Daphnia pulex: one gene and its partners. The protein of the gene in region 1 binds, or shares a complex with, the protein of each later gene. Links are inferred from orthologs where the notes say so. Each region holds a gene or a part of one and is shown in the gene's direction. Other genes may lie near its edges.

Region 1 (2,771 bases):
ACGGGTGTCAAGTTAAATGTCCCTAATGGATCGTTAGCTAGGCCATCTGCTCCACATTGACATACAATTGCTTCCGGACGAAAACGTTTCATTACTTCCTGGAAAACTCTTTTGTCACAGATGAATGAATGATGATGAACCACATTGTAGGTTTTAAGGAGACAAAAGAAAATTTATACGTTTGAAAGACGTGGATGAAAGTTTCATCGCAAGCCCCATCTCTGAGTGGAACATTGCATGAATAGTTGCGACCCCTGCCGAAACCAGTGTCGTTGACTGAACCTGTACCCGGAAAATATCCTTCTTCATGTTTATGTAACGATAGCGTAAACACTTTGCGGCTGTAAGCGAAAGCATTTTCAACTCCGTCTCCTTAAATAAATAAAAATGGGTTTGTATCAATCCTTGTATACATTTACACTGAAAAAGGGTTGGACTTACCGTGGTGAATATCCAAGTCAATATAAAGTACGAGTTTGAATTTTCTTTCCAATTCTAGGATGGCAAGAACACCTGAAAATCCAATAGTTTTACCTTGTGTTTTCATTATAAAAATATTAAATTATTGTACAGTCATTGATGTAGCAGAATCCTGATGCACAATCTCTCTGAGCGTGATGCCAGCCTCCACAGAAATTTACTGCCACATCAACAGATCCAGAAACAAGTGCTTTGGCTCCTGCTACAGATCCACCAGCTATCACAGAGATAAAGTCATCAAGCTTGTCAAGTGGGGGGCAGTCAAATCCTTGATTAGATTTTAATGTGATAAATTAACATTTCCATTACATGTTTCCATATTCATATTACCTAAACCATATTCCTCACTGGATTCATCCTCTACATCCACATCACCTTTGAGGAATTCAATGTAATCGGCAGAATGAAATCCTTGAAAGACGTCATCATTAACTTTATCACAGTTTAAAAGCAAGACATGATCTAAGAGTCCATAAGATTCCAGCAAATGATGAACTAATGAGGCCTGAAAAGAAACAAAGCAAAAGTGAGATCAAAATACGTTATATGTACTATTGAAAGTTAGTTGTACATAATGCTTAAGTATGTCAAAATTTAACTGTGACATTTTTTAGTGGTGAATGGAAAAAAAATGTTACCCTGTTCTTCAGGTTTGGTACTCTATTACATTGATGAATTAATTCCGGTGAATATACATAGCCAATTTTAGATTTAGGGGGACATTTTATGATTTTTTCCTCGTTATCATCACAGCTCTTTTTTTCGTCCGGCAGTATACCCGCCATTTGAATAACGTTGTCTGCACCGCCACGTTCACTAGCGACATGGCGGACAATAAAGAAACCCGAAATTAAATGGCCGCCAGCATCGCCTGAACAACAAAAGAAAAGGGCGAAATTTTGGCTTGTAAAATGACTAAAAATACATCCAGCTCCGATTTACGATCTGAACTTTCTGACCTCGTCAAACGAAGAATCGAAGTCGCCGTAAGAATGAATTCAAATTTAACCTTAAAAACTGCCTACTTCATTGTTTATATTTGTGTTTTGTAGGAAACCCTAGCCAACTTGGAAAGACAAATTTATGCATTCGAAGGTAGTTACCTGGAAGATACACAGCTTTACGGAAATATTATTCGAGGATGGGACCGTTATTTAAACAGTACTAGCAAACTGTCAAACCCTTCATCTGACAAAAGGAACAGGAAATTCAAGGAAAATGAAAGACTTTTCTCCAAGTCTTCAATTACTTCTATGGCGGTAGAATTGCATGACACTTCTACTGAATTAACAGAAATAAAATTTCTTTCAAACCTAGGCTGTGAGCGGGATCATTGATCTGAATTCTGAGAGAGCAGAACGAAGCAGTGAAACTGAATCACAAGCAGGAATGAGTGGAAGTGACGAAAACAGCAGAGATTTTCTCGGTTTAGAGGGGGTCAATGGTGATAAGTTAGGAAAAGTTTCAAAATCCAGACATATAAATAAAAGAGGGAGCAAGAAGTCAAAACTGAAATAATTTCATATTCACTGTTCATTTTCCTATTCTCTATAACATGGTTTCGTGAATGCCCTTATGAATGTACCTTCCTAAGTGTTAAACAAACTTTATGTCTGTGTGTCAATTTTCTGGTTTTCTGAATAAATGCTCGAATTAAACATTCCAATGTTCTCGCAATTCATTTTCCGATTCAGACTTATTACGTAAATATGTTTCATCCTTCTATCGCCAGATGGATTTGAAAGCTCATTTGCTCCTCCCCCTCTCTTCCTTCTCTTGTTGTCACATGATCAGATGATTCTTGTCAAAATTCGGTAACCACACACTAAACCCTCTTACGAACCCTATTCGTTTGTATTGTATTATTCAGATCCAGTTTTAATCACACAATGTCGGGAAAAGACAAAATTGCCATTTTTCCTTCTCGAGGGTATGTCATATTTATCTTTAAGACGATTCAGTTGTAATTTAGAACATATTAGAGCTCAATAACAACTTTCAAGTTTTTGGTTTAATTCCTTTCTCTTGACACAATCAGAGCACAGACTTTGATGAAACATCGGCTTGCCGGTGCACAGAAAGGCCATGGTCTTCTTAAAAAGAAGGCAGATGCTCTTCAAATGAGGTTCCGCTCAATCCTGAAAAAGATCATTGATGTAAGTTGAAAAGGAATTAAGTATCTACTTTACTTGGCATTACAAAATAATTATTACTCAATGTTTCAGACAAAAGTACTAATGGGAGATGTGATGAAGGAAGCTGCATTTTCACTTGCTGAAGCCAAATTTGCA
Region 2 (3,664 bases), on another chromosome or scaffold:
ATACTTCCAGCCGTTCTTTATATTTCTTATACTTTCTCATGGCTTTGTCAGATATAAGAGTGCTATTGTGAACAAGATTCAAACCTCGGTTTTTAGCAAAATCAGACGCTCCTTCTCCTACTAGAACACTAAAAAAAAGGCTGTGTTAATTTAACCACTCATTTTAAGTGATGCAAATGGTATTTTGAATTACAGTGGAGGTGTTCTACCAAGAAGTCTTGGTTCATTCTGGTATAAAATGATTTCTTTGGCTACCATTATAGGATTTTTAATACTTTTAAGTGATGAGACTGCTCCAAATCGTGTGTTTCTTTGATGTTTCAAAGACAACATGATTCCTGCATCACATTCAACTTCACCGCTCTCAGTGAGATTGGAGCCATATCCTGCATTAGTTAGTGGTGAATCTTCTAATATGCAAACCAATTCACACGTAACATCTAGTGCAGATTTTCCTTCTTGCAATAAAGCTGCTCCCTGGGAAAAACTTATCAAGTCAAACTATGAAACCATGAATCACTAATAGAAAGCCATGCCTTTTCACACGTTATTTTGCAAAGTTTTTTGTAAATAGCTTCAGATTTTGAACTATGGCAGCCTGCTCCAAGATGAATAGCAACAAATCCATACTGTGACATTTTTGCACTTTTATGGTTTAAATTTTGTCGAGAATTTTCATAACCGAAATTTCATTTTACAATTTGAAATGGGACTGATCGGTCCAGTTTGTGAGAGAGCTAGCAGAAGACTACCATTTCCAACCGGCAAAAGCGGCAATGTCGCTCATGGCCGCGCACTGTTGTTTTGAAAGCTTTTTCTCTAATGAAGACCGAACAGTCATTGTCAAAAATGAAAGAAGAGATTGTAGATAAAGATCTGTTTTCAGATTCAACTGTATGAATTTTTACATTATTTCATTAGAAACCATGTTTAATTTTGTTTATTCTATTATCTAGGCATCTGTTGTTGAAGGCTGTCGGTTGCCTGTACGGATGAGAAACACCGAAGACTGGCGTAACATTTGTTGCTTTGTTATCATTTTATAGATTTGAAAGTTTAATTGTGGTTTTTCTTTTGTTATCATTTAGCTCTAGCCGAAGTACTCAGTGTCAAAGATATCTGCAACATCAGGATGTTTTATGTCCATTACATCGACTGTAAGTTTTGTATATGCTATGTTTAACGATACATCATCTTACAAAATTTTTAATTCAACTCTAGTCAACAAACGACTTGATGATTGGGTCTCAGAAGATTTCTTAGATACGAGAAAAATTCAGTTTCCTAGAAAAGATGGAACTCAAGTAGGCACAGGCATGAGTACTCCTAAAAAAGTTGGAGGAACAACTGGTTCTTCCCGTCCTTCTTCCCCACTAGCTGCATCCAGTGCATCAGACCTTACTGTCAATGGGTCTGCTCTACTGGCTGCAGCAATACAAAAGAGAAATGGAAGAAAACGTAAAATTGGAGAAAAAGAAGAGCCCAGTCCAGGATCCATTATTCCAATCCCACCTGCCAAGAAACTTATAAGTAAAGTTATTTTATTTCATTAATTCTTTACATTTTTCATAAATTCTTTTAAATTTTATTTTTATAGAAATTGAAAAAGAATTACCAGCAATCCCCACTCTGCCACCCACCGTAGTTAGCGATAGTTGTGCTGTTCCTACAAGTAATTAGTCATTTTTTCTACAATCTATTTATTATATATAAATGATTATTAAAACTAAAATTTTCTGCATAGGTGATTCAGTTTGTGAGGTAGGAGATGCTAACTCTCCGGCCCCACCGTCCACCCCTGCACCGACTACACCAGGGCCACGTCAGTCGGGCAGTCTTGTTACACATCACGATGACGTTGTAACACGAATGAAAAATATTCAAATGATTGAACTCGGCAGACACAGAATAAAACCTTGGTATTTCGCACCCTACCCTCAGGTATGTCATCATCTAACGAACGTAAAGATCCGAAATGTTTACTATTCTTTTTCAAAAATTAGGAAATGGTTCACCAAGCTTGTATTTACATATGCGAGTTTTGTCTCAAGTACCGGAAAAGTGAAAAATGTCTAGAACGTCATCTGGTAATTTAAAATTTTACGATATATTTTTAATTGGATGATCAACCCTTAAACTTTTTCTACAGATGAAGTGCAATCTTAGACATCCGCCAGGCAATGAAGTTTACCGCAAACAGACAATTTCTTTTTTTGAAATCGACGGCCGTAAAAATAAAGCATACGCTCAGAACCTATGCCTGCTAGCGAAACTGTTCCTTGATCACAAGACACTGTATTACGACACTGATCCGTTCCTCTTTTACGTCATGACTGAAGTGGATGCACGAGGTTTTCATATCGTCGGCTACTTTAGCAAAGAGAAAGAAAGCTCGGAGGACTACAATGTCGCCTGCATCTTAACATTACCACCCTATCAACGGAAAGGATATGGAAAACTTCTTATTGAATTCAGTGCGTACAGAATCGTAAACCCAAGGGGAAATATTTTTTTAAAACCATTTTTGTTTACGTAAAGGTTACGAGCTGTCCAAGTTCGAAGGCAAAACGGGCTCGCCAGAAAAACCTCTGTCCGATTTAGGGTTGCTGTCTTATCGCAGTTACTGGGCTTTTACAATCTGTGATATTCTGATGAATATGAAACCATCCAGTGAAGGTGAACGTCCTCAAATTACCATCAAGTAAGTGATGTAAATTACTTCATTCTAGAGCTCACGTTGACAAACGAATTCGTTTTAATTTAAATAGCGAAATTTGCGAAATGACGAGCATTAAAAAAGAGGACGTGGTGTCCACCTTACAGCATTTGAACCTCATCAATTACTACAAGGGGCAGTACGTACTCATTCTGAACGAAGAAGCGATGAAAAATTGCATAAAAAACAAAGAGAAATGGAAATTACACATCGATCCCAAATGCTTGCACTGGACACCGAAAGACTGGTCCAAAAGAGGGAAATGGTGATGAGATCGCACCTACAATCCATTCCGCGATCTTGCTACTTCTTTGCTTTTTTTTAAAAAATACACTCACAATTTCTATGTACAAGAATTCCAAATTCAAATGTCCTGTTTCTCTTGGTTATTCTTGTCTGTTACGACAACAGCTTCACGGTTCTCGTATGTCCAAAATCCATCCAAATCAATCAAGATATTGATCACAGTTTCACCGTATCCACTGAGCCAGAAAACGTTCAATGACAATCTTATTCTAAAAAAATTCTAAATGAACTTTGTGTGTTACCAGTTAATCAAATCATGTAAAGTGATTTTTGACGGATCGGCAGGACGCACCATATCGAAAATCTCATCATTGACGTCGTCAAAAGCAACGACTTCTTGTTTGTGCTGCTGCATCAACTCTTGAACCCCCTGCAAAGCATTTTTTTTTTTTTCAAGATAAGAAAGTCAAAAGGTCAAATGAGGAAATTAATACTTTGAAGTAAAAATGGAGGTCAAAAGTGTTGAGATGGTTTCGATGATTGACGTCCAACAAACGGAAAAAATACTGAAGTGCTTGTGGTTCCTTTTTATTGTCCATGGCCAATACGAAATCCAAGTACGTTTTATAATCCATTTCTTTCTCATAGGTCATGCACTCCTCGAATACTCGTTGAATGAAAACTCGCGTCAACGTGCCAGTT
Region 3 (3,757 bases), on another chromosome or scaffold:
ACAAAGTCGAAGCTGCCAATTTAATGAAAGATATTTTTTCTAGTTAAACCTGTTTTGCATTCTCAAAGTACATTATTGCTACGCTTTTTCTTTTTTAACTAATGATGTAAGCTTACAGTTGGTGCTTGATATTTTAAAAATTTATTTGCGGAAGTTAACTACATACAATGATATTAAGGGGATTAGGAAAATAAATAAACGTTAATTGCTCAATTCCAAAAAGAGTCTGAATCGTCGTCGCCTACATTTCTGCCACTTAGCGGACCAGATATGGGATCATCAGCACCATCGGACTCGGAATCTAAACAGAAAGGCTTTATTTTTTGTGGTGATTGATGTGGGGAAACGTGTTGAGCGGCTTCATCACTAATAACTGTTTCCATAGGTTGTAGCTTCCGGAAATCTTCGTCGTTGCTGCCTTTCTGAGATTCATCGTAAGTAGTAATAGGATTTGCTGCCGGGATTTCCGTTACGCTGCTCAAAGGAGTTTTGAGTTCGATGGTTGTTGTAAGTTTGACATCTTTTTCTTGTTCCAAGTTATTCTCAAGGACTCCAATTGATTCTTCTTTTAATAATTCCAAATTTGACACAGCAATAGAAGGTTGATTTGGATAAGATTTTCTTTGCTTTGCAATGACATTGGGAGTAGAACTACTTGGTGGAATAAAATCATCCACTTGTGGAGATGCAACAATATTTTGAGCTGGCTGTTGAAAGTCTGGAACTGAAGTCGTCAGGGGATGTTTATCCTGAATATGGCCTTGATGATGACTCAATGATTCATTTTGAAGTGCTGAATGACTATTTGAAACTTTGCTATCTCTAGTTTTATTGAGACTCTCTAAAGTATCTTGAGAATGAGGCACAGCAAGTGTAGAAGAACGAATGTTGAGGTGTGTGCTCTGATCACTTGCAAACTGCTGGGCATCCAATTCAGGGAAAGGAGATGGGGTATGAGGCCAAACACCTTCTTCATGCAAAGAATGTTGCTCTGAAGTTGAAGAGTTATGTGAAGTGTTCATTGCCATTTCTCTTGTGTGTTTTCTGCCGCTGTGACCAGTTAATGGACGTTCAAGTTCAAAGTCTGTCATGTCTATGGCAATGTTTCTTTGAATTTGAGCCCACAGAACAGGATTCTGTTGCATAAGTGTTCTTTCATATTGATTTCTCATCTGTTGGGCAACTTGAGTTTGGGCTACCAAATCAAATGATTTTGCTTCAAATTTCTTTAGTTTCACTAACAATCGACGATTGGACTCTCTTCCTTCTGCATCTTGTTTGCAAAACTGCTGATAAGAATATTTAATGCTTTCGCTAAAGCCTCCGACATTGAAATTCATGACAAACCGGTCACAACACAAACACAACAGCAGTTGAAAATGGCGGATAAATGTGTTGTCAATAAACAAACTAGAGCAGCTTCAAACATAGAGCAGTAACCCTGTCAAAAACTTTGGAGGAGTAAAAGGCAAAATGTCTAGCAAACCTAAAAAAAAGGTGCGTAAATAACGTTATTTAAGATGATTTAGCGTATGAAAGTGATAGATGTGTAATTTTCTTGTAATTAGTTTTCTTAAGAAAGCATTTAAAAAATCCAAATCGTTGTAAAATCGGCAAAATACACAACCTGTTTGGAACCACTAGCCGAATATAATTTCGTGCCAAAACTTTCATTTTACGTTATTGTTGTCGGTTTATTCTTCGTTTTAATGATTTGTTTTTTTATGAAACAGGTGAGCAGCTCAGAAGACACAAGTTCCAGTAGCAGCAGTGATAGCAGTTCATCTTCATCATCATCAGGAAGTGATTCTAGTAGTTCAGATTCTGAAAGTTCACAAGCTTCGGCACCAAAGCAGTGCAATAAAAAAAAAGTGAACCGAACACGAGTGTCCAGCACCAATTCCAGTTCAGATTCTGCTCCCAAGAAAGAAACTCCAGTTAAGAAGGAAGAACCCAAGAAAAAGCAAAATAATGCTCCGACAAAGGCAAAGCCACCCCAGCCATCAAAGAAACCAGCAGCCGCTGCAGTGCCTGCAAAAGCTGTTAAAAAGCCCCCTGCTAAGAACAGCACACCAGTCAAAAAGCAACCTCAACCAAGTTCAAGTGCAACCGTTTCTGAAGCAAGCAACAAAAGTCCTAAACTTCAGCAGAAGATGAGGAGTATTTTCAGCCCTGAAAATAGCAGCATGAGTAGTGATAGTGATGTTCCAACAATTCCCAAGTATTATATCATATGTGTAGTTGTTTTTGTGCAGTTGTGATATTCTCATTATAAAATTACCAGGAAAAGTGCAGTGTTGCAGTCATCTGAAGCATCGGATACAGACACAGAGTCTGGGAATCAGGTCAACCAACCCAAGTCAAAAGGTCCCCGTGCAAGAGTCCAACCAAGACCAGCAGCTAGGAAATCATCTGAAAGTGAAGCAGAGACTAAAACAAAGGGAAAACAACCTGGTAAAATTTTATTTGTGTATTTTTAAATTATTATTTAACGCTTCTACATGATACATAACGATTTTTCAATTGTACAGCGAGGAAATTAACGAGATCTTCCAGTGCCCGAATAAGAAAAAGTAAGCACGTCATTGGTAAAGTTTCCGATTCGGATTCCGAAGTCGAAGTTCCAGTCAGTAACAAATCGAGCAGTGCAACGGGTAAACGGAAACCAGCTGCTGCAAAGGGAAAATCGTCATCTATTGGCAATCGCAAACTTACACCCAAAGAAATCAGCAGCTACAGTGGCAGCGCTCCGTCTTCTCATGAGAGCTGTAACACTCCGTCAGTAGAAGAGAAGAAGTGCCCAATGGCTGGCTGCGATTCCTCAGGTGAAGCTTTTGTAATTAATGATAGAGTTTGGATTTTTTAAATTATTTATTTTGATTGAATAGGTCATTTAAATGGAAAAACTGACCGCCACTTAAGTTTGCAAGCCTGCCCCTCTTATCACAATTTAACCATGTCTGAATGCGCTGCCCTACGTCTCAACGCAGAATCTCAAATCAACCACTGGTCCGCCATTAGTACAAGTAAGTACTTTGAATCATTTTTAATGCAAAGAAATGTATTAATCGCTTACCATTCACCAGATCGACAAGATTTTCATGTTCGAACTCCAAGATCACCGCGATCATCTGGCCCGACAAGTGAACAGTTAAAGGAACAACAAAAAGTACGCCAAGCACGCGCTCAAAAATCTGAACGAAAAGAAATCGATACATCAGCACCAGCCGAGCTGGACGAAAACGCAGAAGATAAGTGGAGAGAAAGAGAACCTAACCTAACCGGCCTCACCTCAGAATACGATCTGGCGTTATTCCGGGCATCCCAGGCTGAAGCCAGCACCAAATATGTGAGTACCCCATGTCTGTCGTATGTAAAACTAAGACTAATTACGCCAATTTTGATAACAGGAGGATGAACTGAAGAGTTTACCATCTGCGGGCGGTTTACGATTCATCGAGATGGGGAGGTTCGAGATGGAAGTTTGGTATCAAAGCCCGTATCCTGACGATTTAGCCCGGCTACCGAAACTCTACCTATGCGAGTTTTGTTTAGTGTATATGCGGTCACGTACCGTGTTGAGACGGCATGCCGCCAAGTGTGTCTGGAGACATCCACCTGGTGACGAGATTTATCGGTAAAGCGGAACATCTACGTTAACTGTGTTACATCTAGTTTTGCCAATTTTTCCTTTCCTATTCCTTGGAATTCCTTTCCTACCTTTTTATATCTCTCTTTCTCTCACCATTCTACGACA

The links. The genes of interacting proteins can lie anywhere in the genome.
Region 2: chromatin modification-related protein MEAF6-like (region 1) and histone acetyltransferase Tip60-like share a complex: the UniProt entries of both Homo sapiens proteins name them as parts of the nuA4 histone acetyltransferase complex. The link is inferred for Daphnia pulex from reciprocal best matches to the Homo sapiens genes MEAF6 and KAT5.
Region 3: chromatin modification-related protein MEAF6-like (region 1) and histone acetyltransferase KAT7-like share a complex: the UniProt entries of both Homo sapiens proteins name them as parts of the HBO1 complex. The link is inferred for Daphnia pulex from reciprocal best matches to the Homo sapiens genes MEAF6 and KAT7.

The regions. Positions count from the first base shown.
Region 1 is NC_060026.1:14,090,936-14,093,706, reverse strand, and holds chromatin modification-related protein MEAF6-like, read left to right. Parts: upstream 1-1,323; 5' UTR 1,324-1,391; coding exon 1,392-1,466; intron 1,467-1,532; coding exon 1,533-1,739; intron 1,740-1,797; coding exon 1,798-1,998; 3' UTR 1,999-2,138; downstream 2,139-2,771. Other genes in the region: histone deacetylase 8-like, read right to left, coding at 1-108, 180-372, 442-513, 572-748, 811-985, 1,119-1,265; V-type proton ATPase subunit D-like, read left to right, coding at 2,370-2,410, 2,519-2,636, 2,706-2,771.
Region 2 is NC_060018.1:12,586,637-12,590,300, forward strand, and holds histone acetyltransferase Tip60-like, read left to right. Parts: upstream 1-771; 5' UTR 772-822; coding exon 823-894; intron 895-956; coding exon 957-1,014; intron 1,015-1,088; coding exon 1,089-1,157; exon of another isoform or gene 1,158-1,221; coding exon 1,222-1,530; exon of another isoform or gene 1,531-1,597; coding exon 1,598-1,672; exon of another isoform or gene 1,673-1,744; coding exon 1,745-1,941; exon of another isoform or gene 1,942-2,003; coding exon 2,004-2,087; exon of another isoform or gene 2,088-2,149; coding exon 2,150-2,474; exon of another isoform or gene 2,475-2,538; coding exon 2,539-2,701; exon of another isoform or gene 2,702-2,768; coding exon 2,769-2,985; 3' UTR 2,986-3,072; downstream 3,073-3,664. Other genes in the region: threonine aspartase 1-like, read right to left, coding at 1-128, 194-477, 537-638; serine/threonine-protein phosphatase 2A regulatory subunit B'' subunit gamma-like, read right to left, coding at 3,081-3,198, 3,265-3,392, 3,457-3,664. UniProt on the Homo sapiens protein: Catalytic subunit of the NuA4 histone acetyltransferase complex, a multiprotein complex involved in transcriptional activation of select genes principally by acetylation of nucleosomal histones H2A and H4.
Region 3 is NC_060023.1:9,594,097-9,597,853, reverse strand, and holds the start of histone acetyltransferase KAT7-like, read left to right. Parts: upstream 1-1,374; 5' UTR 1,375-1,473; coding exon 1,474-1,497; intron 1,498-1,733; coding exon 1,734-2,221; intron 2,222-2,284; coding exon 2,285-2,454; intron 2,455-2,531; coding exon 2,532-2,825; intron 2,826-2,888; coding exon 2,889-3,026; intron 3,027-3,086; coding exon 3,087-3,349; intron 3,350-3,410; coding exon 3,411-3,637; intron 3,638-3,757. Other genes in the region: probable 2-oxoglutarate dehydrogenase E1 component DHKTD1, mitochondrial, read left to right, coding at 1-47. UniProt on the Homo sapiens protein: Catalytic subunit of histone acetyltransferase HBO1 complexes, which specifically mediate acetylation of histone H3 at 'Lys-14' (H3K14ac), thereby regulating various processes, such as gene transcription, protein ubiquitination, immune regulation, stem cell pluripotent and self-renewal maintenance and embryonic development.